7 linked regions of the Canis lupus familiaris genome follow. The protein of the gene in region 1 interacts with the protein of each later gene in a biochemical or structural test. Links are inferred from orthologs where the notes say so. Each region holds a gene or a part of one and is shown on either strand. Other genes may lie near its edges.

Region 1 (4,528 bases):
CCATAGTTTCTGTATGCTAGAGAATGGTAAGTAAATATAGTTAATTCCCCACCCTGTTTGATTTCCAGGACTATTATTCAGACTATTATTCAGCTTTCCTGTATATAGTCCAGGTAATCCTAGGCAACTGTTACTTTCTCTAAGGAAATCTATTATGAAGATCAAAGCTGTTTTTTCCCAAATCTAGCAAATTTTACCACAGCTAGGAAAAACAAAATTAAGTGTCCCCAATTACCATTAAACTCTTGTGTTCTTAAGTACATCACAAATGATCTTAAAATTCATCTCCTTCTATTGTCATCCACTCTGTGGTTTCCCTCTAACAATAACCTCTACATGACTCACTGTCCATGCTACACAGGTAGAGCTCCAAGAAGCCAATCTAGGATTATGGAGTGGACATCACAACCAGAGATTCTTCATCATGACTATGCTCTATAATAACTGAAACCACTTCCAGATCACACACTTCTAAAGACCATCACTTTCATAATATGACTTCTAAACTCTGAAGGCTAAGTCAAGAAGGGACTATCAGAAGAGAGAGGAGCATTTTCATTCAAATATATCCCCTCCAATCCAATCAAGTTTTTTCAAGCCCATGTGGACAAAACCCATGTGGAAAGTACAGATGGAGAGGAATGGCTTTTCGAAGATAAAGGACAAAAGGTTCACCTGACAGCAACTAATTCTACATAGCAGAACAAAAGAAAAGCTCAGGAGTGAGACATTCAACAACAGCAAGGAAAGAAGAGCAGAAACTTCTTGGGGCAGCACTCTGATCCAAATCCATATAGCTTCCAAGAGTTTCGCAACTACAGCTTCCTTCCTTAAAAAAAAAATTTTGCCCCTTGCTGTTAATTTTGGGTACCAAAAAAAAAAAGTGAAATGACATATTTTGTGCAGTGTAGGAAAGCTTTCAGGCTGGGATAAACTTTAACTCCATCAACAATTTATGAATCCATAAAGTCCTCACTGTTTTCCATCTTAAAAAAGAACTAATTTCTCTTAAAATCTTACGAAAAGTTCTACTTAAAATGCAAATTGTAGATAAAACTGTGGTATGGCATAACTTACTCTTGGGAACAATAATGAAGGAACACTTAAAATATGTACTCAAAACACTAAAAGAACCTGATTTTACTGATGGGTCTGTATCTGGAATATGCTTACACATCTTATAGAATAGCCTGTGAGTTCACTTACCACTCTGTTTTGCAATGAAAACAAAACAATCTCAAAACATATTTTTACACTTTTTACACGTCGATTTTATAAAACAGAATCCTGAAATGAGCACCTGAGACCTTTGGTTAAACTATAATTTTCTTAAACTACAGTACCTACAATGCATGTCCAAAGATTAATACAAAATACTATATAGCTATAAATATTGTACATCTGTACCACATACAAACGCTATTTTTTCTTTATGGAACAGTATGCATTTACTACTAGAAGACTGCTAACCTGTAAGAAAAGAGAAATTTTGAAGGTCTATAAGGACTCATTTACCAAAGGGTAAGTCGGTGAAATATCATACCACTGAGGCATTTATCCAAGAAACTGTAACTTAGAAGTTTATAAATCAAAAAAAAATCTAGGTTCTTTTCAGTAGAAAGTTGTTACGAATATTATAAATCATGAAACATTGAAAAACTATGCTTTTAAAAATTAGCAGGTACTAAACTACTGAGTATCAAACAGTAGTCATTTATAAACTTCAATAAAGAATATTAGAAAATCTTAGATGGCAACAAGTTGTGGACAGAAAAGATCCAAATTAGCTCACAATCATTAACACACACACACAAAAAAAAAAATCAGTTTCAGGACTATGTGCTAACCTATCATATACTATACTCTTTTGCTAAAGGAATCATGAAATTCTTTCCTGCCTCTCCCAATAATAAATACAACATCCAGAAAGAAGGGATCTTTAGTCTTCAAGCTGTATTGACTTACTCCAAGCTCCTAGAACAGTGCCTGGCACACAGTACTCAGTCTTCATTAAACGAATGAGGGAATGAAGACCAGGTAGGAAGAGGTAAACCTAAATGGACGAAAAAGCTAATCACGCTTAAAGGTACAACTGGTTAATCGCAATATTAACAAAAGTGAGTTCATGTCAAATGTGAGCTATGCCGCATTATAGTAGTAAGTTTGAGTTAGAAGAACTCAGACTTCAAGAATAGCAAATTTTTCCTAGAAAACTTGTTATACAGAAAACTATTTGAAACTCTTAATAATTCGAAATCCTGCTAAACATGTTCACAACTGCTTTAGTAGCAAAACTAACATTACTCAAAAATTCCTAAGCCCAGCTCACTTCACTGTTAAGAGAAAACATGCTGACAGACTTCATTAGTTCTCTTCTGCATTAGTGTCTTCCCTCACTGCAAATCACACTTCAGAAAAAAGCAAGCCTTCCCACAGTGAATACAAACCCCACCTTTTCCCCCTTCCCAAAATATGACGTGTGTAGGATTCTAAGACATTCAAGATCTTTCCCCAGTTTTACTGTTGTTTTTTTTTTTTAAAAAAACAAAAAAAACAAAACCTTCCGTTCGACTGCTGGTTTGCCTTTCTTGACATATACCTGTTACCGTAGCGACGTGAGGCAAGAACGTCCAGTTTCTGTTACAACAGTACACTTTAATTGCTTGCCATGGGCTATCTGAATCAGGTATGGCATCCCAAGTTACACTCTCTACACTAAATAATGCCAGCGTATGACTCAACGTAACGCTAAAAAAGAAAGTTTCTAAACAGAGCAGCCTTTGCTGTCGCTGAAACCCACAGCGTAGAGCAACTCGGGGCAGTGACGACCCCCTCCTGCTGGGCTTCCACGGCTAAGATCTGGAGAGGCCATTGTCCAGCGTGTGTTCTCTGGCTTCCCCTTGACCCTCCTACAAGTGGCGAGGCCAATTCCTGCACAAGAAGAGTTTGTAAAGTGCTTTTGGACGCCTGTGGATGAAAGAGGCTATAAATACAGCTGACGAGGTTAGGTGCGTGCGTTACTACCGAGCAGTGCAAGGAGCCACGGTCACTGCGTCGGGGGGCGGGTAGGTGGGCGGCCAGCCCCCTTCCTGCGGAGGCACAGGACAGCCCCCTCCACCCCCCGAAAGGTCTGGCGGGCCCTGGTTGAGGCCGGGTTATTTTTGAGACCGCACGTGAAAAGTTCCACACACGCCCCCCCACACACGGAAGACTTCCACAGTCCCCGTCCCCGCGGGTGTGGTGGTCCCGGGGCGCCGGCAGGGAGGGGAGCACCGGGGGCCGGGCCTACCCCCCGGGAACGTGGGAAGGGGCCGGCCCAGGGGCCCCCGCCGCAGCCGCAGCAGCCGCCGCCCGCCCGCCCGCCGCCGCCGGCCCGAGGCTCCCGGGCGGGTGCGCGGCGCCGGCCTGAGGCGCCGGGGCCCCCGAGCCGCCCGCCCCGTGGCCGGGAAGGCTCGCGCCCCGCGGCCGGCGGCGTGGGGGAGGGGAGGCCGGGCCTGCGGCCTGTTGGGGGAGTTCAGCCCGGGCCTCGCGTGCGGCTCTCCGCCGGGCCCCCCGGCCCCGGGGTCCCAGGCGCCGAGGAGAGACTCACCGGAAAGGCCCGGATCCGCATCTTGGTGTCCTTCCGGCTGCCCGTGCCTTTGCTCAGATTCGACATGGTGCTCGTCCCCTCCCCGGCGGCGGCTTCGGGTCGCACTCCGAGGCGCCGGTGTCACATTTAAGGCGGGCGGGCCGGCGAGGGGCTGCGCTGGGGGGCGGCGGCGGCGGCGGCGGCGGCGGCGCGGCCCCCGGGCTGGGCTGGGGAGCGGGCCGGCCCCTGGGCGGCCGCGGCGGCTCGGGCTCCGGCGGCTCGGGCTCGGGCTCGGGCTCGGGCTCGGGCTCGGGCTCGGGCTGCGGCGGGGCTGGGCTGGGGGGGCTGCGCTGGCGCGGCGCCTCCGCGGGGTCCCCCTCACGCCCGGCTCGGCTCCCTTTATCGCGCTCCTCCGCGATGGCGGCGGCGGCGGCGACGGACAAACATCTCACTGCGCAGGCCGAACGTCCTCCTCCTCCTTCTCCTCCTCCGCCTCGACGAGACGAGATCCGGCCCAGAGGGTGGAGGGGGGAGGAGGGAGGGAGGAGAGCCGGAGAGTGGAGAGATCGGGGGGAGGGGGTGGGAGGACGGGAGGGGGAGGCGGGCGGCCGCGGCGGCGGGGCGGGGCGGGGACGCCGAGATCTCGCGAGACGAGGGCGAGCGCGCTGCCCCGGGTGGGGCGGGGCGAAGCCTGAGAGCGGGCGGGGTCCGCGGGAGGGGAGGAGGGGAGCGGGGAGTTGGGGGAGTGGGCGTGGCCAGCGGGGCGGGGAGGTTGGGTGAGGGGCGGGGCTGAAGGCGGGAGGAGAAAGCTGCCTTTTTGAAAGGGGAGCGACGGCGGCGCGGAGGTGGTTGCTGATTGGTGGAGCGCGGCGCGGGGTGGGAGGGGTCCCGGTCACGTGGGCGGAGGGGGCGGGGCGAGTCCTGAGAGCCGGAGCCGGACGGTAGTGGGCTGGGCGGGGT
Region 2 (3,732 bases), on another chromosome or scaffold:
TATTCAAGAGTAATTATTAGGAATGCGTGTGTTCACACATTTCTGTTATACAAAGGCTCTTTATATTACATCAAGTTATGCAAAAACAAATAATAAACTTTGTGGGGTGCCTGGGTGACTCGGTCGGTTAAGGTCTGCCTTCAGCTTAGGTCATGATCCCAGGATCCTGGGATGAGCTCCACGTGGGGCTGCCCACTAGGCAGGAAGCCTGCTTCTCCCTTTCCCTCCCCCTCCTGCCTGCTGCTCCCCCTGCTTGTGCACACGCTGTCAAATAAATAAATAAAATCTTAAAAAAAAAAAAAATTCACACACACTTGTTAGCTGGGATGTTCAAAAAAGCAGTATACAAAAAATTCAGCAGCAGTACAAAAAAGCAATTATAGTGCCAAATAAAATGTCTTACAATGAATAAGCCATGTTACAACAGATATAAATTTTAATAAAACGTACAAAGCTGTATATGAACTAGTTTATATTCTTTGCATACTTGTCTGTACATTTTATCATTCTCTAAAAAGCTAACTGAGGGTTGGATATTTCCAAAGAATTTCAGAATCAATATCATTTTAATCTGGTATATTATGACACCTAGATGAATGACAGAATTCAAGCCTGGTTAGGCTATAAATACTATGATTCAAAAAGTTAATAATAGTCCTTTATTTTATAAAGATTGCTAACATATATAAAGAAAAATAACAGGAAGTACAGTATGCTAGACTGGTAATCTGGAAATATAAATTCTATGTCCTAGCTCAGCCACTAAATAGCTATGTGAACCTGGGTAAACATTTTCTTCACCTATCTGAGTCTGACCCCTTCTCTCACCTATAAAAAATGACTGAAATGACAGGGTTGATTTTATGTTCTATTCTAGAAATTATAATTTGGCTCATATAAGCAAAAGTTTTTATGTGAATCTATTTAAAATATCTATTATGTTAATTCTGGTTAAAAAGGAGAATTACAAAGCATTACATGCTGAAAATTCAAATATAAAAATTCAAGTTCCATATGAACAGATGCACTTAAAAGAATATCTTGAGGTATTCTGAAATGTAAGGACATGCAAACAAGTAGTAAAGAATAGCTAAATGTGTTAATAAAAGCATAACCACAACAGGAAACCACATGGCTAATTGACCCCCAGGTTTCAGCTCAAAAGTATTATAAATTAATGCTTCCTCTATTTTAGAATCTTGGTAATTAGTAACATCCTGCATGAACATTAGGAACATAATTTAAAAATAATACATAATTACTAACTGATTCTGAAACTAAGCACACTTTACTATGCAAAGTAAAAATCAAATTATTTTTGTAAAGGAGCAATTCTGTAACTTATCAGAGTTTCAAAGGCAGCATCTGAAAGTATTAACTAGAACATGGCTAAGGGTTGCAGGGCTGCCATACAACCTTTCTGCTTTTGTTCTTCATAAGATTCATTTGGCAAAAAAGAAATAAAAAAGAAGTGCCATGTAACTCTATCTTCAAATACCTTTTCAAAATGAAGCATAAAATTGAAGAGAAGAGGCCCCAGAGCTTAGGTCTGCCCAAAGAACAAACTCCTTACACAGCAGAACTCTGTATTCAGAGAAAGAAATCATTTGCTCAATCTGTGAACAAATCACTTTGATCACAGACCTCTAATTCACTCAAGTCAATAATCTTTGTAAGACTGTACAAAGATTATTCAAGATTATGAAAAATGGGGTAACTATTCATTCTGCCAAGACCACAATATAAATTTTGTCAATCCCTAACTGTTATAGATCAAACCAATTTGATTAAGGTGAAACCTTACTCCTAAAAATTACGAAGCACAAAATATCAATTAAGATCTTCAAATAGGCCATCAAATTTGTTTTTTAAAAAAATGTCTTACTGTAATGAAGTCATCCCTTTTAACCATTCTTCCTTGGTAAAAAATCCCATGCTTTCAGCCTCCAATTTCCACGCTAAAACTAACATAATAATCTGGAAAGAACAGAACATAAAGGATAGGGGAAAAGTCAGCAGAGATAATCATGTCTGTATTTATCATGGAGAGCATTTTTATACAACTATTTCCATCTTCCAACTATTAAAGAGTACAACCTCTGGCATTATTAACTCTAAAGAAATTTAGATGGGCCAATTTCTTAAAAGTATAAAGCTCTAAGTTTCTGAAGGTAGAATCTCTCTCACTCTATTACAAATAACATTTGTATCAAGAAAGAGAACATGTGCCCAACTTAAATTGGTTACAAATACTGAAAATGACAATTTACAGTATTAAACATGAAGAAACAAAATTCTGATATAAGATTAAAGTGTCTCGATTTTTAGAAATATGTAAATATGCTATACCCCACTTATACTCCATTCTTAGAAATAAAACATACATTTTCAGGTTCAACACCAATGTCTTCACAAAATTTTTCCATTCCTTCTGGCCCTACAACTTCATCAGGACCTTCAAAGACAAAAATAATTTACATATTTTATTGTTATATTAATATCAACATAAAACATAAGCTATTGCACTAAAGGCATCTATGAACACACCATAAAAATTTTTTAAATAACTAAATCTGAATTTTGACACATTTTTTATAAAGGTATAAATATTTGATATATGACTTAAAATGTAAAATTTCTGAAATATTCTTTACACACTTTACAAAATGAAATTAAGGGAAAAAAATGAAGTAGCATTCATATCAGTCACTTGTTTGTACAGTAACTTGAACCCATCCTTTAAAAAAAAAAAAAACATTTACGGAGAGCCTTCTCTGAAGAAAATTTTTGGCAATGCATAAATACAAAGAACCACGAGAAATTTTACTAGAATGTGTACGAACAGCCCACAATTCAAGACAGTAATCAGAGAATACTCGTTTTCTTGCTAAAACATAAGGTCATTTATTACCCTTGTGAATACAACCAAATAAAATTTAATACTTTAAAAAGATACAAATATTTTGAAAATAAATAACTCAGAGAAATTACTATTTCCCTTGTCACCTTGGATCTAAAATAGATAGTAAAGCATTAGATATTCCACCTTAATACAGAAACAGAAGTTTATTATTATTTTCTTAAAATATTTTATTTATTTATTCATGACAGACACAGAGAGGGAGAGAGAGGCAGAGACACAGGCAGAGGGAGAAGCAGGCTCCATTCAGGGAGCCCGATGTGGGACTTAATCCCGGGTATCCAGGATCACACCCTGGGCTGAAGGCGGTGCTAAACCGCTGGGCTGCCCAGAAACAGAAGTTTAATCCCTCAATTAGCTTGTCCAAAAATTAGTGATACTTATCTTGTTTCTTATTTTTCTCCCTTAACACTAAATATAAGTCAATACACCAATTCTCATATTTTATGTTATCAGATTCCCAAAAGACAGTAATTACATCATTGCTAGGTCCCTTTCCTAACTCGGTAAGATTACAACAAATTTGAGACACCATGAATGGACTCTGAGAGCATTCTGCTAAGCTAAAAAAGTCAGTGGCAAGTAACATACAATTGTAACGTATATGTGGAATATACAAACAAACATGCAAGAAAACCCAAGCTCTTAAATACAGAGAACAGACTGGTGGTTGCCAGAGGCAGGGATGGGGAGTAGGAAAAAATGGGTGAAGGGTGGTCATAAGGTACAAACTTCTAGTTATAAAATATATAAATCCTGGGATGTAATGTACCACATGATGACCACAGTTAATAATACTGTATCGTTGTATT
Region 3 (3,732 bases), on another chromosome or scaffold:
TAGAAGCCAAAAGTGTCCAATGTCTGACTTCTAGTCTGACTTTAGTATTGTGACTTGGTAGTCATACAGAGCCATGAGCCAAAGGCAGAATCCAAAGAACACCATTTAAACATCTGTAAAAGTGTGGCTTTCCCAGACATGAAGACTGTATTTTTTTTAAAGATTGTATTATTAGAGAGAGAGAGAGAGAGAGAGCATGAGCCAGGGAAGGGGGGTGGTAAAGAGGGGAGAGACTCCCCACCAAGTGTGGAGCCTGACATGGAGGCTTAATCCCAGGACCCCAAGATCATGACCTGGGCCAGCCAGCCAGGTCAGGTGCCTCCACTTATTTATTTTTAGAGATTTCTTTATTTGATATATATATATATATAAACAGCATGAGCATGGAGAGGGAGTACTGGGGGAGGGAAAAGCAGACTCCCCACTGAGCAGGGAGCCCAAGGCATAGCTCGATCCCAGGACCCTGAGATCATGACCTGAGCAAAGGCAGATGCTTGACTGACAGAGCCATCCAGGTGCCTCAGTTTTTGAATACTTAAATGCATGAGTAACATGATTTATGTGAATTTATAAGAACCACTTAAGCACTTAGGAAAGATTTGTTAAGATTGTTAAGACAAGAATTTAAAAGCAAAGTAAAATTAAACCTATAAATATAGTTTAACATAGTTAAGCCTCTTAAATGAGAGGTAGATTTCTTCCTAGAAGTGACTGTTAAAATTTAGTAGACTTTTTTTCTCTTTCTTTAGGTAGGCTCCCTGCCCAGCATGGAGCCCAATGAGGAGCTTGAACTCACAACCCTGAGATCAAGACCTGAGCTGAGACCAAGCAAGAATAGGATGCTTAACCAACTTGGACTTTAAAAGAGAAAATAATATATTTAAATACATTTTAAAAACTCAAGGAAAACAATGATTTTAAAATGAAATAAACTATTATTAAAAAAAAAAGTATCTACAATTTTTTTTCCTGTGCATAAAGCTGCCACTAAGAACATCATAAATTGTGACAGATTAGAAGCAAGAAATCTAAGTTCTAATTCTATGACTAACTTGCTTCATTTTATTTCTCAGTGCCTTACTTTCCTCAGCTGAACATGATGAGGCTAGAAAGGAAATTATTTTTTTCTGCTTGCCATCTCTATTATAAAACTGAACAGTTACCAAAGAGAAGATGTAAAATGTCAGCCACTTTAGAGCAAAGAATTCAAAATAAGCCATCAAATATGGGTAACTTGGAGCTCTCTTACGAGTATTGCAAAAGCACTTCTCAATGTATGACCATCCCAATTTTTAAGGTCATGGGCTACCTTATTCCCATGATTTTCAAGTCAGCAGTGAGGTGATCTGCAATGTAGCTTAAAGGTTACCTCCATGTATTGGCGTCAGGATCAAAAACTTCAATGGTCTTCAAGTACGTTGTGCCATCAAAGCCTCCTACAGCCATGAGCTGTCCGTTCACTACTGCAAGGCCAACCTACAGGACCAAAACACAGTGGCCACTGAAGAAGCCAGAGGATCACTGGGAAAATTTTAACTAGTTTCTAGATAAATCTTTTTAATAAAAGATAATTCTTTATGACTTTACATTCTGGCTTACTTGAAAACAGAGGAAAAAAAGTAATGACAAAAATCTATTATATGTGGGAACAATAAAATTATATATTCAATCAGAATATTTATAAAGTTCAAAACATAAATTTCTAAATTTTTGGAAAAGCATCACTGGGAGCCGACAAGAACTTCCAAACTGCTCTCACTTCTTTTGGTATTTGCCTATTCTAACCCACTATCTAAAACTGCCACTAAAATTCTGTTTAAAATACAAACCTAACCATGCTGTCACTTCCCTCTAAAAAATTGCTAAGCCTCCCTACCACCTATGGGTAAGTTTAAAGTCCTTTCTAGGTCATTCAGGCCCTCCACAAATCCATCCTAGGCCATGTTTTAGCCTCACCTCCTTATGTACCCTATGCTGCAAGAATACAGATTTAACTGCTCTTCCCAGAAAATACCATGTTTTTCTGATATTGGAATAATACCATATTAGGATTATACTAGTAATACCTCCATACTTTTGCACATGTTGGTCCCTGGTTTTCTTTCCCTCTTCTAGAAAATCTTAGTTTTCTTTCACGGCCTAGCTTACATCTGACTTTTTCTGGTAAGTTTCTTCACTGCCCCCAAATACATTAAGCATATCCTCCCATGTTCTCTTACAATGCACATGCAACCGTTTCTTTTTTGTTTTTATCATTTTCTGTAAACATTTCCATTTCCTCCACTAACTTGGGAGCTCCTTGCGGAGTTGTACTCACTTTTGCTTTCCAAGCACACAGTAAGAACTTCATAAATATTTGCTAAATAATACGAATGTAGCAGTGAAAACAACAGGAATGTGACCTAGAAGCTGTTCATCACCAGTAATAGCAAACCATAGATATGGGAATGTTTTGACTTGCTGATGCCTATCAGTGATATTCTCTGATTTGTGCACACCAAAATTGATTCCTTTTTATCCTCAGATAATGGAGTCTTTTAGCTACTGCTGCATTCTCCCACCTGTTGTTCTACATCAATGGATTCCTGACACAATCAGTGGTTTATGGGTTACATTTCACTACAAACCAAATGTCCTAGGATGGATGAATGCTATACTCCACCCTAGAAGTCTCTTGTGGTCACAAGTCATCCACGGTCTAGAACATGACATAGGTCAGCCTGGCCAGGTCTAAACTACAGATGGGACAGACCCATACCAGTTTGTGAAGACTGGTGGTGGGGCCAGATGTGTTTCTGCCTAAACATCTGTATTGGTGTGCCAACTACTTAGAATATTACCTAGGAACATTAGTTCAGAACATTTAGCTCTAATTGAGAGGGATGAATATGGGTGAAGTTAGATAAGGTAGTGGAAAGATAATGTTTTTCAGGGAAACAATCAATGAAAGATAAATCACAAAAAATAATTCTATTATTAAAGATATGATTGAATAGAAGGTATTTAAGTACTTGAGATAACAGCAATTATAAGAAATTAATTTTTTCCAGTACAAAAGTAGCTAGGGGTTGTTTTGCCTAAACAGTGCATCTCCTTACTGTACCAGTATTTTAAGATCAGAGCTCTCCTGCATAGCCCTCTCTTGTTGTTCTTTTCCCAAAGTTTTCAGTAGCTGGGCACTTACTCCACTACGGCGGGATGTCATAGCCACCACGGGAGACCACTGGTTAGTTCTGGGGTTGTATCTCTCAGCGCTGCTCAGCTCTGTAGTATCATCTCTACCTCCTACGGCATAGATCATGTCCTGATACACTGCACAGCCTAGATGTTTCCTCCGGGTCCCCATAGGAGCTATGGTGTGCCATCTGTTTTCCTGAGGATTGTAGCGCTCCACTGCAGGGGGAAAAAAAACCAGTAAGTGACCATTCAGCCATTTCTTCTAACTAGTTTTCCTAATAGCCATTAAAACTTTGTGATAATACATATTTTCAATACACAATCTGATTTTTGCTTATGAGGACTTGTGTACCTTTGGATAATACCACTATAATCTTATTGGGGCTAATGGTTTCATCTGGGTACAGTATGGTGGAAAGGGCATGTGTTGGAGTCAAGGTACCTTAGTATAGTTCTGACTGTATGACTTGAGGCCTCATCTTATCTTTAAATGAGGGGATTAGACCATAGGATCTGTAGGCACCATTCTATACTAGTAATTAATTTTCATAATCA
Region 4 (4,159 bases), on another chromosome or scaffold:
TAAATATTTGCAGGGGACGCCGGGGCTGGTGGCCCTGGCAGGGGTGGGTGTGCGCAAACCCTATTTCAGGCAGCGCTCGAAGTAGGTGGAGCCGATATAGCCACCCCGCATGGAGCGCTGCACATTCTGCTCAAACAGCCGCCGGTTGTTCTGCAGGACCTCGGCGGCCTCCTTGTTCAGTGGGTCTTCGGGGTTGGGCTCCTGTGGCCGGTATAGGTGGGGGTCAACAGGCCCTTAAAGCAGAAAGGGCCAACCTTCCCCAGCCTTCCCCACCTACCCCTACTCACCAAGAAGAGATACTGCAGGCCATAAATTATGGAGTTTATCGTAAGGACTGGCTTCCAGTCCTCTCTGTGGAGGGAGAATCAAGGTCAGGGGCTGGTGAGTGGATGGCCAACACAGAGCCTGCTGGGACTGAACAAGTCAGCTCCAGGGCACGGGACAGTGCAGATGTGAGAGGCTAGGAGGAGGGCGCACAGCAGGACAGGCCAGGGAGAAAGCTAAGGTCAAGACTTGAGGAAGAAAACATGGAGATGAAGACAGAGGACCACAGACCACAATAGGGAAGGAAGGGACAGAGACTTGTGCAATCCAAAGTCACAGCCCTCACCTGAGGATGTTGAGGCAGACATTGCCCTCAAGGTCAATGTTGGGGTGATAGACCATCGTCTCACACTTCACCTTGGGGGGGTCATGTGGGTAACCCTGGCCCACCTGGCTCCAAGAAGGGAGAGAAGATAGAAAAGTGCCCCAGCAGTGCCTGGCTGGGGCCTCAGCTGTTGCCTCCTCAGCCACGGAGGTATCCCTGCCCACCTGGGACTCACCTTAAAACTGAATACAAACTTCCCACTCTTGTAGAAGCCCTGCAAAGAGAAAGAAGAAAGTGTTAGGACATCATCCTGCAGCGCCTGGCAGGTAAACTAAGTCTCCCAACTCAAAGTGCTCTCCCAGACCCCTTGGCCCATGCCTCAGAGTCCAACTAAGTGTACCCTTACCTCATCAGGACAGATAACCAGCTTGAAGTTGAGGAGATCGTCTGGATCTGAGAAGCTGATGTCACACGTCTTGGGCAGGTTTAGCTCGTTTATGTCTGGGTTTGCATAGCAAAGAAGGGGAACGATGAGAGGGAAAGGGAGATGGAAAGACAAGGGCATTCGGAGGTGCAGGTGCCAGGAGAGCACCCATGGCCTCCTCCAGGACCCTCAGGGCTCTGTCCTGGGCTGTGCCCCACACCCCCAACCCTCTCCCTACTCTTTCTGCTTTCTAGTCTCCAGGCAGGCTCTTCTAGATCCACAGCACAACTCAAACATGAATTGTAAACTGTGGTTATGCTCTAGCTCCCGGCCCGGGATAAGTTCCAACTCTTCCGAATCCACAGCCTAAAGTCTCAGCGTCCAGCAGCTGCGTACCCAACCCCCCAGCCCCCAAATACTCCCACCCCTGTGTGGCCCCCCAAGAGCCTACAACTACCCCAAACACCAGGATCCCCGGCCATGACCTCCATTTTCTAGTAGACACTGCTGGTCCCCACCTGACCACCCAAATCCAAGGACCCTGCCCCTAACCAATGCCGTCCCCACCATCCCTCCTCTCCTCTGCTTGTCATCCTAAATTCAGGTACCCATCCAACCCTCAGACATGTGAATTCCCATTCCTGTACCCCCTCTAAACATTGCCTCTAAGATTCCCAGCACCCAGCATGTTAGTCTAAATTAACCCTACCCCCATCTCCAGTCCCCAGCACACACTGTTCTTCCCTCCTCCACGTGTCACCCCAAACCCCAAATTGCCATGTGACCCCCCCAGACCCACAAATCGCAGTGCCCAAAACTTACTTCACTCCATCTCACTCTGATTCCCAATGACCCCAATATACTTCACTAAATCCTCTCCTACTCCTATCTCCAATCCTTGGCCCCCACTATCCAATCTCCTCTGCCTATCACCCATGTTCTCATACTCTGTGGAGTCCCCAGGTTCCTACTCGCCTTCCATTGCCTGACTCTCTGATTCTTGGTCCCCAATGCAAGATGCCTGGCTTTCCGAGTCTTGTAAGTGCCCCACATTCGGCCCCCCATCTCTGACCCCTCGGTGACTGCATTACTCACCCCTGATCCCCCATCACACCGAAACCCAGGCCCTAACCTCCTACCTCCACATTTGCGGCCACATCTCTGACATCTCTGACCCCCCGGTGACTGCATTAACTCACTCCAGACTCCTACATCACCCCATCCCAGCCGCTGACTTCCGACCCCCACCCCCATCCCCCGACCCCCTACCCTTCTGGATCCGCAGCTGCGCAGCCGACGCCTTCTTGCTGCTGCCCTTGGTGCCGCCCGCCGACTCCTCCTCCTTCTTCTGCTGCTTCAGCGAGAACAGCTTGATCATCCTGCCGCCGCCGCCGCTGCCGCCGCTGCGGGGCCCGGGACCCCGGCCACCCGGCCCCCTGCCGCCGCCTGCGCCGCCTCCGCCACTCGAACCCGCCTTCGCGGCCTCCTCCGCTGCTGCTGCCGCCCGCCCGGCCTGCCGCGCCGCTCCGCGCCCACCGCGCGGCCCGCGTCGGCTCCCGTAGTCCGGCTCTGGCCTGGCCCGGCGCCTCGGGCTCGCTCGGCGGCGCTCGGGCCGACTCGGCTATTCTCGGGCCCGCTCGGCCCCGCCCCCAGCCAGCCGCTTCCTCCTCCCCCTCGCCAGCTTAGGTCCCCTCAGGCCCAGCTGCGGCCGCGCCGCTTGTCTGTTCACTTGCTCCCACCGCGAGGGGCTGCGGCTCGAGGGGAAGGAGGAGGCGGCGGCCGCGGTGGCGGCTGCCGTGTACTAGAAAGGCTCGGCTTCCGCGGCAGCAGCGGCTTCGGCGCAGAGGTCCGCAACGGCCTCGGGCGCCCCACCGCTTCGGATATTTCCGCCGCTTGCACTCTTCGGCTCTTCTCGCCCGGCCTGCGCTATGCGCCTGCGCAGAAGCAGCAGCCGCCGCGGCCGCCGCGGCCGCCGCCGCTGCCGCCGCCGCCGCCACGGCCGCCGCCACCCCCGCCCCGCGTTGCTCAGCAATAGGTCTTAATATTCGGACTTTTTCGGCTGGACTCGGGTATTTCCGTTTGTGCCGCCTGTCCCGCGGTCATTTCCGGGGACGCTCGCGGGTCCAGTCAATGGCGGTGCCACCGCCATCTTTAAGTAGGGCAGTTGATGGTCACTTCGTAGGCAGCCCACCCTTGCAGATTGTGGTGGGGGTGGGTCACATGAGGTCCTTGCCCCTGGAGGTCACAGAGGCAAGGTGATCACGGCGGGCCAGAGCCCGGAGAGGCCATAGCCTTTACTCAGAGAGTGCGGGGTCGAGCAACCTCGATGTCCCATCGCAAAAGCAACTGGCTCGCGGAGATTCTGGATGAGGTAAACTAGTAAATAAAACGCGTATTGTGCTAGTGGTAAGCACTTTGGGAGATTACATGGGTGGACACTAGATGGGACGTGGGGCGGGGACCCTCTCGGAGCAGGTCCCGAGACCCAGCGGACACGCTTTGCGATCTTCCGCTGTGTGGCCAGCCTCCACAACGATCGCACACAGCTCAGCGTGCCTCGGAGGGCGGGAGGACGCGGCGTGGGGCGGTTCTATGACGTCCGGCTGTCGCCATGGAAACGGTCGGGCGGGTGTGCAGCGCGGCACCGCGCTCAGTGGGTGGGTGCGGCCGGTGCTCAGTCTCTCAGCACCTCTGCGACCCAGTGCGGCTCCCGCTGTACGTCCCCGTCTGTCTCTGAGGCCACCTGCCGTCATCACCTGGAGCGTTGTGGAACAAGTAGTTTTGGCGGTCCGGTTGAGCCAGCGCTGGGGCTGGGCAGGGGTGCTCACGGGGTCCTCTCAGCCGTCGACCTCTGCCCAGGCTCGCAGTCCTCCCCTCGGGGGAGTGGCCGTTCCATGCCCTGCGCCTCCTCAGACCCGACCTGGCGTCCATCTCGACACGTATCCTCGCTTCAGGAAGTCACCTCCACCTTTTCGTATCTTGGGCTGGCCCTAGCCTCCTTAGAGGCCCTACCCTGTGGGTCTTCGGGTACCACTGAGGTCCCTGGGCTCCACGGACTGATCGCAGCCGTGTCTCTGCAACTGCTACCTCTTTAGGCCCTTCCATTCACAATGCCACCATCTCCCACACTCCTTTCATTCTTCTGG
Region 5 (4,321 bases), on another chromosome or scaffold:
ACCTGGAAGGCTCCTCCCATATATCTGCATGTCCGGCTTCTTTTTATTCAAAGCTCAACTTAAGGGTCACCTCCTTAAAAAGGTCTTCTTTGACTGCATCCCGATTAGACATGTTTTGTCATATCCCTGTACTTCAGCACTTAGCAAAGTCTGATTCGCTTATTTATTCTGCCCCACACACTACAGTATAAGCGCCATAAGAGTTCAGACCTTATGCCTGCATTCACCTTTGTCAACCACAGCCCAAAATACTGGCTAGCTCTTACTAGCTAATCAATAATGCTTGTTGAATGAATGAATTTTTGACTTTATATTCAATGGTTCCAAATCAATTAAGGTGAGAATAGTACTCATTCTTTTCTTTTGTTACAGTTCTGTGAAACATCTAAACATGATGTTGTTACTTGTATAATCAAAGCATTAAACATCGTTTTATCAGGCCTGAAAGCCCTGATGAGTAGGATGGGATCCGTTATAATTCTTCTAGCAATACGCATCATAAATTCAGTTATAGAGGCCCAGGAGTTATGGACACTTTCTAACCAAAGGACCTCTAAAATGTAGGCACTATTTCTTAAAGCTCTTCAGAAAACACAGTTCCGCATTCAACAGAGGACTACCAAAGAAAATATCAACATCAAAATAGGAACCATTACATTTCACTCTGAAATTCCTACAACAAGCTAAAAGAGGACTACTTGGTGACTTTTTTTTTTTTTTGAAACCCACAGAACATCAATAGAGATCTTCTTTCCAGTCATTCTCTGCTTTCTTCAAATAATTTTTGTTATTGGTTTGTACTTTTTTTTTTAAACAAATCACATTTTCTCATTTAAGTCCGTCTATACACAAAGAATCAGCTAAATAAATGAGAGCATAAGACAGAAATCAGCACAAGCCAAAAGTGTCACTGAAGACTTGTGTGAATAGAGAAAAAGATAAAAGAGCTATTGTCCAATTGCAGAAACAAAAAAGTAATATGGGGTTTTCTGTTCTCTGAAGTGCATCATGAAGTGTGGGTGGAGAGAAACACAGAAATCCAGAATTAGCCTAACATCAAATCATTTTGGAAAGAGTTGACAACATGTAAATTCCTCACACACAAAGTATTTAGAACAAGAGACTTTGATTCCTGGGCTATGATGCCATTTAGGAATCCTTGCAAGGGCTTTGGAATCCCAGTATTCATAGGAGAAAATGCTCATCTTAATTTGGAGCTACCAGGCATTGAGAGGTACTCCCAATGTGACATAGCCTGTAACTGAAGTATTACAAAGCTTGCAGGAAGATCTGGGAGAGGCTGAACACCAAATTCAAAAGAGGTAACCAAGGTACCAAGTGCCATAAAGGAAAAGAAAAAAAAAAAAAAAAACACCAGGATTACCACGTAGCCACAGAGAACTGAGGTGGAAACGAGGGGTGTATATGAGGAAAGATAAGGGGGAAAGGGGAATGGAAAAAAATAAAAAACAATACATTGTCACCCCGTCCCACTTCCTACACAGGATACAGGCAAAGCTTCCAGCCCCATTACCTCAGGCACAGATGGTTATCGTTTATAGCAAAGGTGCACAGAAAGGCCTTCAGGTCTGAGCCCCTTAATTCCAGGGCTGTTAATGATTAAAGGGAAGGATGGGGGTGGGGAGGAAAATGAGGGAGGAGGGAGCCGGAGATTCACCCACCACCTCCCGCTTGGACTCCTACCTCACAGAGCTTACCCGGGCCATAGGACCAGAGTCGACACCCTCTCCAGGGCTGTTCCAGCCCCCAGATCCCCAGGCCTGGGTTGAGGGGTGCTGGCGGTGGCGAGGCAGGGACAGTAGGCAAGTTTTCTTGCGCCCTGCAGCTGACACGCCACAGGCTCCCCTCACAGCCTCTTCTTCCAAAAGGACCAGTCCAGACAAGGCGCTGATTTCCACTCCTCCCCTTCCACCCCCTTTTCTCGAAGGTACCCAACCCCCGCCCCTTCATCTCTCAATGCTCCCCGCTTTTCCTTAACCCCCCCCCAAAACTCACAGCTGCTCCAGAGGTTCCTCCAGTCAAACCCTTTCTGGAAACGACGGCGGCCCGGCGGGTCCAAACCACCTACCATCCCCGCTCGCGTTTCCAGGATCCCTACCCGCGCCGCCGCCGCCTCTTCTTCCACCACTGCCGCCGCCTCCTCTTCATCTGCGGCCCACCGGCGGCGGCCGCCCCCAAGCCCCGCCCCCTCCATCGCCTCCTGCATCATCACTTCCGGTAACCCCGCAGGCCGCCCGCTCCGGGAGGGAGAGAATAGAAGAGGGGCGGGGAGGAACGGGTGGAAGATTGCGTCACGACGTACGCACGGACGTACGAAGCCGTCGCCAAGTAAGGGCAAAGAACTAGCGACGCGGAGGGAGGGCTGGGAGGAGTTGGACTGGATCATTTTTTGGCTAGAGTGGGGGTGGGGGAGGATAGCGAAAAGGGGTAAAGAGAAACTAGGGAGACGATGAAGTTGGCTATACTGTTGGGTATACGGCGGAGGGTGGGCTAGAGTATGAAGTTTCAGGGAGACTTGAGACCATCCCTGACCTGGAACTAATGGTTCCACGGAGGGCCCCCCCCCGGTGGTTTAGTCCGGCCTGGCCTACCGGACCTGCCCGACCAGCGTCGGCCGCGGCTCAGCAAGGCTCCCGGCGCCGCCTCCTCCTAGCCCGCGGTAGGCTGCGGCGCTTCTGTGGGTGGGGGAAGGCAGGCCTGACGCAGAGTGAGTGTAGGGGATGGAGACGCTGACTCCTGGCGCGGGAGACTTGGGGGAAGGGGTTGACTCCCCAGGGGCAGGGATGGGCTGGGGGCGGGGGTGCGACGTTGCTAGGAGACGCGCTTGTGTGACCCCAGCCTCGCGAGGGCGGCTCTCTGTCCTCGCCACCGGCCTCGGGACCCCGCCGGGGGAAGCGGCCCGAGGGCCAGGAAGCGGAGGCCTGTTTGGCGAACAGCTGAGATGCCGGTTTGGGGCCCAACAGAGACTTTTCCTGAATCCTTTGGATCCCCGAATGTAAATGTGAGATCAGTAGGGGCAATTCCGGGGGCGAGAGGCGTCAAGCTGGGGAAGGTTGACCCAAACGAGGTCCCGTAGAGGCCACGGAGGCTTCCTAGGACGGTAGTGAGAACCTGCTTCTTAAACGGCTTCGGTCCGCGAACGAGAACGAGACGGAGGCCTTGCTCCGTGACTGTTTATTGGAGTCCGGGAGAAAGTTAAAATGTCAGTCAGTAAGGAGATATCAGCAAGTACGACATGCCCCCCTAAGACCATAATACGGGGTGTGAAGCGGTAGGAGGTGGGAGGAAGGCCACTCCAGGTGGGGTGAGGCTTTTCAGATAAGGCCAGAGTTCCACGGAGATGCGTGAAAGGAGAGAAGCTAGGGAGTGGACTTTTCTAGATGGAGAAGAGAGCCAACAGGAAGGGTCCTGAGGAGGGAAACGGCGGGAAAGCCAGGTGGCTGGAACTGAAAGAACACGGGCTGGAGTGGTCTGTGATGGAGAAGTGGGAGGGCCTGATCATGCACAGCTAAATGCCCAAGGTTAAGGTTTGGCTGTTGTGTTACCTGAGGGTTTTGAGAAGGGGAGTGACCTGATTTACATTAAAAAAAAAAAAAAAATCACTCGGCTGCTGGCTAGAGTAGGGTAGAAAGTTGTCAGACCTGTTAGGAGGCTGCTGCCCCAGGCCCAGGGAGAGATGGGTAGTGGCAGTGGAAATGCAGATTATTAAATTCGGAATGCATTTTGGAAATAGAGCTTGCAAGACTTGCTGCTGGATTGGGTAGTGAAGTGTACGGGAGGAGGAGGGACCAAGGATGACTCCTAAGGGGAAAACAATTGAAAGGAGACCCTTGACACAGATAAGGCCTCAGAGATAAAAGAAGGCTCCCTTAATATCCCGCAATAATGAGACTCTCATAATCAGTGAGACTCATCCACCCACTATCCAGCTTCTATTCATCCTCTAAGCCCTGGCTCAAATCTCTTCCTTCCCTTCCAACCCCAGCTGTCAGTGCTTTTGGACTTGTGCGCAGGTGATTTGTGTCCATTACAGCAAGGCTGACTTTGCTTGTTAATTGTTCATATGTCTGACTCCCCCACGGGCTATTTCTTCTTTGCGTCCTTCTGGCTCCTGGTACAGAGCTTTGCCCATAGGGCCCACTGTGTAGTTATGGCTAGGTAGGAACACTATTCATAAGATAGCAGCCATGGACTTCAACAACTCTAACAAAGGGGCTTTTGTCCCACTGCTGCTGCCAACTGTCAGCCACAATCTAGATATGGTTAATCTCGTAAAATCTAGAAAGGATATCAGAAGTAT
Region 6 (3,732 bases), on another chromosome or scaffold:
TGCTGGGGATGGTCTTCTCAGTCACTGCTATCTTCCTATAGATGGTATTTTCTACTCATCTGGGATATGAAGAGTTGACACCACTTTCACATTGTCGGAGTCCATCTTATCCTTCCAACCTAGCTGGGGCAGATTAGGTATCACAGCAAGAAAGAAACAGAAAAATCTTATCTCATCCCTTTGATTTTTAGATGTGAATATTCAGGCCCATTAGTGAGGTAACCTACAGAGCCAGAATGGAGGAAAATGGAAAAAAGGCAGAAAAGATTGAAGTTACGATGTCTGTTTATTGTCTTAAAAAAAAAAAAAAAAGAGAGAGAGAGAAAGAGAGAGAGAAGAGAAAAAATGACTCATGAAAATCAAGGTGATCTAATAAAGATACCTAAAATAAATAAGTCAAATGACTTTTAGAGTCACCAAAATTAAGCAGTTCCCTTGTCTGAAAGAGAAGTGGTTTACACAGTCTCCTTTTTCACCGTTTCTAGCAAAGTCTCACTCATCTGAGCCTCAAGCTCTGCTCGGCTAACACTCCAAGCAGACTGAGAGCTTCCAGCTGCCGCAGTGCTCCCCAGCCTCTCGGCCCAGGTCCCCTGCGGAAGCAAGCACTCGGCCCTGTGGTTGTGTGTGGTAAGTGAGACCCTCGTAGAGAACAGATACGTACCGACCCGGTGGTCCTCAACAGGCACAGACGACAAGCCCTTAAAAGGAAAGAAAGAAACTCTACACCAGTTTTGGTGGATCAACGGACTGAGAGAAAACTTCAATTTCTAAGAACTCGACTTACCTAATTTGGTTTTTGTTTTATAAACCCACACGTAAAAGAAACATCACAAGGTAACTACACTTTGAAAATGTTAATTCAAATTCTTTGATACACGTCACCGAGTTTGATCTACTGTCTCTGCGACATACCCATCGTGTCTACTTTTCTTGGCGGATAAGTCATCTCCGGAGGCAGGTCTCCTCTTTTTCCTCGGCGGCATCACTTTACTAAAGCAGTCTGAAGAGCTGCAAGACCGCAGGCTTCCTGGGGACAGAGAGCCATGGGGCACAACGGCAGGGTTAGCCACAGCCCAGCATTCCCAGAGCATCCCACCCGCCAAATTAAAAAATGTTCATGGCCTGTAGTGTTAAGGGGTTAGATGGTCTCCGTAAATGTTCTAAGGTAAAAAAAAAAAAAAAAAAAAAAAAGGGGGGGTTTAGTTCCTCTTTGAGAAAATGTTACAGTCAAGAAATAAACCTTGCAACGACACAAGTCAATACTCCCCCCACTAAAACCACATGAGAAACGGAAGTAATCACAATTTCCATTTACTCTCCAAAAACACTAATATAAATCATCAGAGCTTCCAGTGTCTTTTACGTGGCAATGTTCCTTCCAAAGGAACCGCACCGCTATCTCCTTTGTGTATGTCATCAGGCAAGGCCAGGTCAGCCAGTCACCTTGACTCTAAAATACAAACAAGCACATCAGCCCCAATACTCTTCTCTAAGTTTCGAGAGATATCTGATCTTAAAAAACAAAAAACAACAACAAAAAGAAAAACAGGATTTAGATTTTTTTGCACAGCAGTCTGCTATGATCTTGAACAAAATTTCCATAATAATTTTTCATCCATTTCTGCCACTTTCCGCCAGGATTTTCAGAAGCATGACTTTCATTGGGTGAAAGATGTTCACGTGTAGTAACAACCGACAATCCCAGCAAGGAGCACTTACAGAGACCTCCCTGGGAGCCAGGCCCATTCCCAACACTTATACCATGTCGTCACTTGTTAACCTCCTACCAGGCTTATGAAAAGAGAAGTATTGGGACTGCCTATGCCGATCAGAGAATAGGGGCAGGGCAGGGAGAGGTTAGGCAAAACTTTAATTCAAACCCAGGTAGTCCCTGCTTCCGACGGTCTAAAACCCTTACAAATTACGAAACAATTATAAGATCATTAAAATGTGCCCATCCTGGCACAGGCGTTATCACATATGCCATTTGGGTCCCACAATAACCCCGAAAGCCAGGCAGGACAGGGATAATTATCTGTACGGGACAGATGGGGAAAACCAAAGCCTGGGCATCCAAGTGATTTTCCAAAGGCCCCAAAAGTGTCTAGGGACGAATTCTGGACCCCCGTCTCTCTCCTCCTTCCAGCAGCCCGTTCCCGGAAGGCCCTGGGCTCTCAGGGAGTCAGAGGACGAGAGAGCAAAAGGGTGCTGGTGTCTGAACGATCCGCATTCAATGCATCAGCTCTAGCCCTTCACCCAACTAGGGGGCTTGGTCAGTCACCGACCGGGTCTAGTTCATCATTTAAAGAGTAAGAACTGGGATACCTCCTTCTCAGGGTTTTTTTTTGTAAGCTTTTATTTATTTACTCATGAGACACACACAGAGAGAGGCCGAGACCCAGGCAGAGGTGAGCAGGCTCCCCGCGGGGAGCCCGAAGTGGGACTCGATCCCGGGACCCCGGGGTCGCGCCCTCCACCACTGATGTGTCCCCCGCTCAGGAGTTTTACGGAGACAAACACCCGATAAGAGCTTGGGCGCCAAGCCCTGCGTGAGGACCAACGCTGGGGATGGGGCAGGGGGGAGGCAGGGTGCGGCCAGGGCCAGGCCGGACCCCACGGTGGTGGCATCCCCATGCTGCCGGGCCGAGAGCCGGGAGAGGAAGGCTGGGGAGGGCGGCGAGCGGCAACAGATGGTGACGGAGCAGGAGCAGAGGCCTGAGGCCCATGCCCCGACGGCCCTTCTGGAAGTCTGCTCCGAGGCCGGGGACGGCACAGTCAGTAGCTCACGGTCAGGACCCCGGGAAGGGCCACCATCGGGTGCCCGGGGTGACCGACGAACTTCAGGAGCCAGGAATGTGCAGCCGCACCTTTCGGGCCACAGACCAGGGCCAGAGCCCGACCTGGGCAGGTGTCCTGCACCGCGTGATGGAGCCTGTGCCGCCACCGTCCCGCCTCCCCCCTCAGCACAGAAGCGACCCTCGGCCGCCCCTCTCCAGGTCCCCACCAGGCCCCATCCTGCCGAGGATGGGAGACACAGGCCCAAGGCACCCGCAGCCCCACGGCGGCAGGAGTGACCGGGAGAGGAAGGGGGGGAAGCACTGCCCACACCACATGCGCCCCATCTTCCCTGCAAAACAGTCCTATTCAGGGGACCCCTGGGGGGCTCAGCGGTTTAGCACCTGCCTTCGGCCCAGAGCGTGATCCTGGGGTCCCGGGATTGAGTCCCACGTCGGGATCCCTGCGTGGAGCCTGCTTCTCCCTCTGCCTGTGTCTCTGCCTCTCTCTCTGTCTCTCATGGATAAATAAATAAATCTTTAAAAAAAAAGAAAAATGGGCCTGTTTATAAACAACCCTAAAGCATACAAAACGGTCCAAAGAGTGTCAGAGTGACTCAAGCTTTTGCAAAAAAAAAAAAAAAAAAAAAAAAAATTCTTGTCCCTGGATGCTGCGGGGTGGGGTGTGCACGATGCAGCAGCAGGGCCCCCAGCCGGCAGGCCCCCACCACCACCCCCCCGCTGTCCACGAGGAGACCAGGTGCCGGCGAGGACGTGGGACCCGGGAGCCCTCGCGCACCACGGGCGGGAGCCCAAACTGGTGCAGCCACCCTGGAAGACCGTACAGGGGTGCCTCAAAAAAAAAAAATGGAAACTGGTGATACCCGATGATCCAGTAAACCCAAGGAGGACAAAAACACGAACTGGGAAATAATATTTGCATTTCTACGTGTGTTCG
Region 7 (4,359 bases), on another chromosome or scaffold:
ATGACCCAATCTACATTTAAGACAAGCATTTTGGCTGCTCCATGAAGAAAATAGGAGAAAGAACAAAAGCAGGGACATTGATTGGGAGGCTACTGCAATGATCCAGGCCACACATGACAGAGTCTTGGACTACAGTGATAGCGCAAACAGGGAGAAAAGAGCAGATGTGGGTCTACTTTTGAAGTCGAGCAAATGGAGGTGGGAAAACATTTGGAGAGACAGAGGCCACACTAGAACAGTCTTAGGTTTTGGCCTGAGAGACTGGGTGAATTTTCTGGGATAAAAGAGGGGAATACGTTTTGAGGAAAATAACAAAGAGAACCCTTACATGAGGCTGGCTGGAATATAGCACAGTAACAATACCAAATGCCAAGGTGAAGTTGGGTCATATGTGAAAGGTCTCGAGGGCCAGAATGAAGACGTTGGGCCTTTTTTGTAGGTGCAGATGGAGTCGTTGTAGCCTCTGTCCAGCCAGCAGGTAGCATGATGAGCACAGTGATTTTGGAAAGTGCCTGGCTAGATAGATAGATAGATGGTCTGGAATGGATAACACCTCGTAACACCTTATTCACTTATCGATTAAAAAAAACAAAACAAAACAAAACCGTGCCAGGCACTCTCCTAGGTACATGGGATAGGACAAGAAAAACCACATACCTATGCCCACGTGTAAGAGCTTAACCCCTTAGTCAAGTAAGCATGCAAACAAGTGCAGAGCCTGAACCACGAGCAAGCAAGTACATGACTCTACGTGGTCACTCAGTGACAGAACTGGACTGACTTGGGGGAACAGTCCAGACCTCCCCGCTGAGAACCCGGTAACCACTGACAGCAGCTCTAGGCCACCTCTGCCCCCGCCCACTGTGAACCAGGGCAAGTCGCTGCCTCTCCGGACCACAGTATCGCTGTTTTACGAAGAGAGCCCAGATGATCTAATTTTCCTCCCACTCTGGTGGCCGGGGGTTTTCCTCCCCAAAGACCACGGGTCTCACTCCAAAGCTACTAACTGGCACGTGGTGTCCTGACATTAGAGCGAGGTACTCCCGCCGTTGCCTCCCCCCTGTCCAGGAGGCCTCTGTCTGTTCCGGTCGTCACGGCAACCGCCCGGGCCCTCCTCCGGCGGGCGCGGGCGGAAACTTCCCGTGACGACTGCAAGGCACCCGCTACCAGGCGCCCCATTTGCCAGGTTAAAACATGGCCACCGCCGCAACACCCGACTCCAGTTTCTCGCTGAATACCCGGGCCTGAGCAGCCCCGGAGCCCACGCCAGGGCAGGAAAGGGAAGAACGGCCCCGCCCGCAGGCTGGCAGGGTTTCCGGAAACCCTCACGCCTTCCTTAGCACCCCGGCCTCTCCCCAGGCACCCGACCACCGCCCTAGAACGTCACTTCCGTCGGTCCCGGCGTCCAGGATTGACGGCGGCGGCCACCCAATCACAAGCGGGCCCACCCCCGGCCCGGGCGGGGCAGGCTTAGGGCCGGGAAGCCCCGCCCCTCGCCGACGTGTGACGTCGAGTCGCCATGGCCAGCTACCCGTACGGGCAGGTGAGTGTGCGGGGGGGCGGGCGATTCCAGGTAGGGGCTTCGCCGAGTCCAGGCCCAGGCGCCGCCTCGCCTTGTCCGGGCGTTCTCCGCGCCCTTCCTACGCGGAGGCCGGCGTCGGCGAGGTCTCGCGCGCCAGGGAAGGCGAAAGGCTGCTCGGTCGCGCCTGTCTCACGTCACGCAGGACTGCGGGTCTGGGAGGTTGCGTCGCGCCCCCTCTGACGTCGCGCCCGTGAGGATTTGGGGACCTTGGACCCCACGTAATCAGGCGAGGCTCTGATTACCTCCTCGGGGCTCCCGGGGGGCTGCCGACGGGCTCACCCGCGCCAGCAGAACTGAGACAACTGGTTGCGCCTGCCACGTTCGGGGCGTCGGATAAAAATACACCCCTGACGTACTGCGTGCGAAGAATCGGGAGAATCTTGATTGACCCGCTTCTGCGGGTCCCACGAGTGACCTTGCTCGTTTAGGCTGACCCCTCCGTTTCATGCATGGGAACAGTGAAACCCAGAGAAGACGCAGAACTTACCCGAGGCCCCCGGGCGGGCAGCGGAACCCGGAAGCTGTCGGCACAGGCCTCTTACCCCCTCCCCAGCCCATTTCGATCCAGCCAAGAGCACCACAGCCAGGGGATTCTGTGACCAGAAGCCTCTGTTGGATGACGGATCGGTAGAGTGGTTAAGTTCAGCCTGGAGTCAGCAGGTTCACCCCTTGGCCCCACCTCTTAAATAGTTAGGAGCCGTTAAGCAAGGTATTTTGCTTCTGTGAGCCTGTTTCCCCGTCCATAAAATAGGGCCCAATAAATAGGGTCTACTTGAGAGAGCTGTCGTGAATAGCAAGCTGTCATGCTTGTAAAGCATTTGGTACTTCTAAGAGTCTAACAGTATTTTAGTATTTGGATTTTTTTTTTTTTTTAAGACTCCTAGGTCAGTGCCAGGAGGGTCCTCAAAATAGTCCCTTTATTTTAAGAAACTGAAGCCCAGAGAGGCTCCTGAGTTGCCCAAGATCATACTAATTTAGGAGGTAAAACCCATGCAGGGGGGATGCCTGGGTGGCTCAGTGGTTGAACGTCTGTCTGCCTTTGGCTCAGGGTGTGATCCTGGAGACCTGGGATTGAGTCCCAGGTCGGGCTCCCTGCATGGGGCCTGCTTCTCTCTCTGCCTGGGTCTCTGCCTCTCTGTGTCTCTCATGAATAAATAAATTAAATATTTAAAAACCCATGCAGGGAAAATTGGAAAATAAAATTATATGGGATATTAGCGATCAACTGAGTATAGTCCCATGCCAAAAGAGAGGTGAGGGAGTACAGCCCTGTATGGCTTTTGTACACAGTATTTGAACCTTTTTAATCTCAGTGATGAAGGTCCTGTAAGCATGCTAGCAGAGATTATTGTCCCAAGGTTATTGCTGAGGAAGGAGCCCAAAGAGGTTAAGTGGCTTGCTCCTTTTCGTTGCATTTTTAGCAGAGGTAGAAAAAAAAAGCTGATGTTAAGAGGAAGTATAATCTAGCAGGGCTTCCAAAGCTCCATTCCATTGGTTGGGTCTTACGAAATGTTAATAGGTATTGCTAATAGAGGAGGATTCTGTGGTTAAATAAGTTTGGGAGATACTCCATGAAATACTCCGTGAATAAGTTTGTTCAACACGGGGCATCTCAGAATTCTTAATTTGTCAATATGCTTTTGTAAATCTGCCATTGAGGGATAGAATATGCAGTATTTTTAAACTTATTTAACTGTGGAACTACCTCCCACTCCCAACTCCCCTTTTTAAAAAATTTCTGGTCATTTTTTGGTACAGCTACTATCTTGGGGGAACACAGTTTGGGAAAACATTGCTATGGTGCGTTGTTTTTTAGTGGATGGTCTGTGTCAGAATCACCAGGAAGTTTGTTTAGAAAGCACACCTTTGGGGATACCTGGGTGACACAGTCAACTGAGCATCTGACCTGGTGTCAGCTCAGGTCATGATCTCAGGGTTGTGAGATTGAGCCCTGCATCAGGTTCTGCACTCTGCACAGAGATTGCTTGGGATTCTCTCTCCCTTCCCCTCTGTACCTGCCTGCTATGCTCTCTCCTTTCTCTCTCTCTCTCTCTTTCTCTTTCTCTCAAATAAAATAAAATAAAATAAAATAAAAAGGCACACTTTTGGGTTCTACCTCAGACCTATTCCATACCCAGGAAGGGCCCAGGAATCTACATCTTAATAAGTTTCTGGAGGTATTTTGTAAGCATCTTAGAGGCAGTAACATGGAAATTAAGAGCCTAAGCTTCCAGGTTGGATACAACTGGGCTAGAATCCTAATTCTAGCACTTAATAGTTATATGCCCTTGGACAAACCATCTAAGGGCTCTGACCATCAGTTTGCTCACCTTTAAGAAGGGAGGAATAATACTTCATAGGGCTGAAATGAAGACAAACTGTGATAAAGCTTGCAGTGAGCTTGGCACTGTGCTGATACCAAGTGTGTGCCAGTGCCTGGTGGTGGCTCTTGCTGCTGGGATCACTGTTAGGCCACATGGCCTGGGCTTCTGCTCAGAGTGAAATTCTGAAAAAGAGCATGGAGAGAACAGTGTCTAGAATAGAAGAAATGCTTTTATCCCCCCCATCATACCCTGTCCACCTGTCCAACTCCTGGTCCAAGGTATTCCAACAAAATACCTGGTGGTTTTATTTGTTATTTATTTATTTATTTATTTATTTATTTTTAATTTTTTTTTTTTTTTTTTAATGATAGTCACACACAGAGAGAGAGAGGCAGAGACACAGGCAGAGGGAGAAGCAGGCTCCATGCACCGGGAGCCCGACGTGGGATTCGA

The links.
Region 2: the proteins of CUL3 (region 1) and DCUN1D5 form a complex in vitro, tested with the Homo sapiens proteins (2 studies listed by BioGRID, with this or other methods). The link is inferred for Canis lupus familiaris from reciprocal best matches to the Homo sapiens genes CUL3 and DCUN1D5.
Region 3: the proteins of CUL3 (region 1) and KLHL20 form a complex in vitro, tested with the Homo sapiens proteins (2 studies listed by BioGRID and IntAct). The link is inferred for Canis lupus familiaris from reciprocal best matches to the Homo sapiens genes CUL3 and KLHL20.
Region 4: the proteins of CUL3 (region 1) and UBE2M form a complex in vitro, tested with the Homo sapiens proteins (2 studies listed by BioGRID, with this or other methods). The link is inferred for Canis lupus familiaris from reciprocal best matches to the Homo sapiens genes CUL3 and UBE2M.
Region 5: the proteins of CUL3 (region 1) and DCUN1D3 form a complex in vitro, tested with the Homo sapiens proteins (3 studies listed by BioGRID, with this or other methods). The link is inferred for Canis lupus familiaris from reciprocal best matches to the Homo sapiens genes CUL3 and DCUN1D3.
Region 6: the proteins of CUL3 (region 1) and DCUN1D4 form a complex in vitro, tested with the Homo sapiens proteins (2 studies listed by BioGRID, with this or other methods). The link is inferred for Canis lupus familiaris from reciprocal best matches to the Homo sapiens genes CUL3 and DCUN1D4.
Region 7: the proteins of CUL3 (region 1) and PEF1 form a complex in vitro, tested with the Homo sapiens proteins (2 studies listed by BioGRID). The link is inferred for Canis lupus familiaris from reciprocal best matches to the Homo sapiens genes CUL3 and PEF1.

What each region holds. Positions count from the first base shown.
Region 1 is NC_049246.1:38,009,223-38,013,750, forward strand, and holds the start of CUL3 (cullin-3), read right to left. Parts: upstream 2,888-4,528; 5' UTR 2,873-2,887; coding exon 2,801-2,872; exon of another isoform or gene 2,632-2,800; intron 2,621-2,631; exon of another isoform or gene 2,600-2,620; intron 1-2,599. UniProt on the Homo sapiens protein: Core component of multiple cullin-RING-based BCR (BTB-CUL3-RBX1) E3 ubiquitin-protein ligase complexes which mediate the ubiquitination and subsequent proteasomal degradation of target proteins.
Region 2 is NC_049226.1:28,886,809-28,890,540, reverse strand, and holds part of DCUN1D5 (DCN1-like protein 5), read right to left. Parts: intron 2,456-3,732; coding exon 2,385-2,455; intron 1,978-2,384; coding exon 1,886-1,977; intron 1-1,885. UniProt on the Homo sapiens protein: Contributes to the neddylation of all cullins by transferring NEDD8 from N-terminally acetylated NEDD8-conjugating E2s enzyme to different cullin C-terminal domain-RBX complexes which is necessary for the activation of cullin-RING E3 ubiquitin ligases (CRLs).
Region 3 is NC_049228.1:25,329,567-25,333,298, forward strand, and holds part of KLHL20 (kelch-like protein 20), read right to left. Parts: intron 3,394-3,732; coding exon 3,185-3,393; intron 1,477-3,184; coding exon 1,370-1,476; intron 1-1,369. UniProt on the Homo sapiens protein: Substrate-specific adapter of a BCR (BTB-CUL3-RBX1) E3 ubiquitin-protein ligase complex involved in interferon response and anterograde Golgi to endosome transport.
Region 4 is NC_049222.1:100,126,201-100,130,359, reverse strand, and holds the start of UBE2M (NEDD8-conjugating enzyme Ubc12), read right to left. Parts: upstream 2,939-4,159; 5' UTR 2,392-2,938; coding exon 2,283-2,391; intron 1,091-2,282; coding exon 996-1,090; intron 864-995; coding exon 825-863; intron 715-824; coding exon 611-714; intron 352-610; coding exon 288-351; intron 202-287; coding exon 61-201; 3' UTR 1-60.
Region 5 is NC_049227.1:24,694,657-24,698,977, reverse strand, and holds the start of DCUN1D3 (DCN1-like protein 3), read right to left. Parts: upstream 2,819-4,321; 5' UTR 2,729-2,818; coding exon of another isoform or gene 2,563-2,728; exon of another isoform or gene 2,421-2,562; intron 2,209-2,420; exon of another isoform or gene 2,017-2,208; intron 1,887-2,016; exon of another isoform or gene 1,719-1,886; intron 1-1,718. Other genes in the region: LYRM1 (LYR motif-containing protein 1), read left to right, coding at 2,563-2,680. UniProt on the Homo sapiens protein: Contributes to the neddylation of all cullins by transferring NEDD8 from N-terminally acetylated NEDD8-conjugating E2s enzyme to different cullin C-terminal domain-RBX complexes and may play a role in the cell cycle progression by regulating the SCF ubiquitin E3 ligase complex, after UV damage.
Region 6 is NC_049234.1:45,540,057-45,543,788, reverse strand, and holds part of DCUN1D4 (DCN1-like protein 4), read right to left. Parts: intron 3,313-3,732; coding exon of another isoform or gene 3,293-3,312; exon of another isoform or gene 3,256-3,292; intron 3,209-3,255; exon of another isoform or gene 3,184-3,208; intron 1,028-3,183; coding exon 913-1,027; intron 1-912. UniProt on the Homo sapiens protein: Contributes to the neddylation of all cullins by transferring NEDD8 from N-terminally acetylated NEDD8-conjugating E2s enzyme to different cullin C-terminal domain-RBX complexes which are necessary for the activation of cullin-RING E3 ubiquitin ligases (CRLs).
Region 7 is NC_049223.1:68,861,002-68,865,360, forward strand, and holds the start of PEF1 (peflin), read left to right. Parts: upstream 1-1,393; 5' UTR 1,394-1,519; coding exon 1,520-1,543; intron 1,544-2,069; exon of another isoform or gene 2,070-2,360; intron 2,361-4,359. UniProt on the Homo sapiens protein: Calcium-binding protein that acts as an adapter that bridges unrelated proteins or stabilizes weak protein-protein complexes in response to calcium.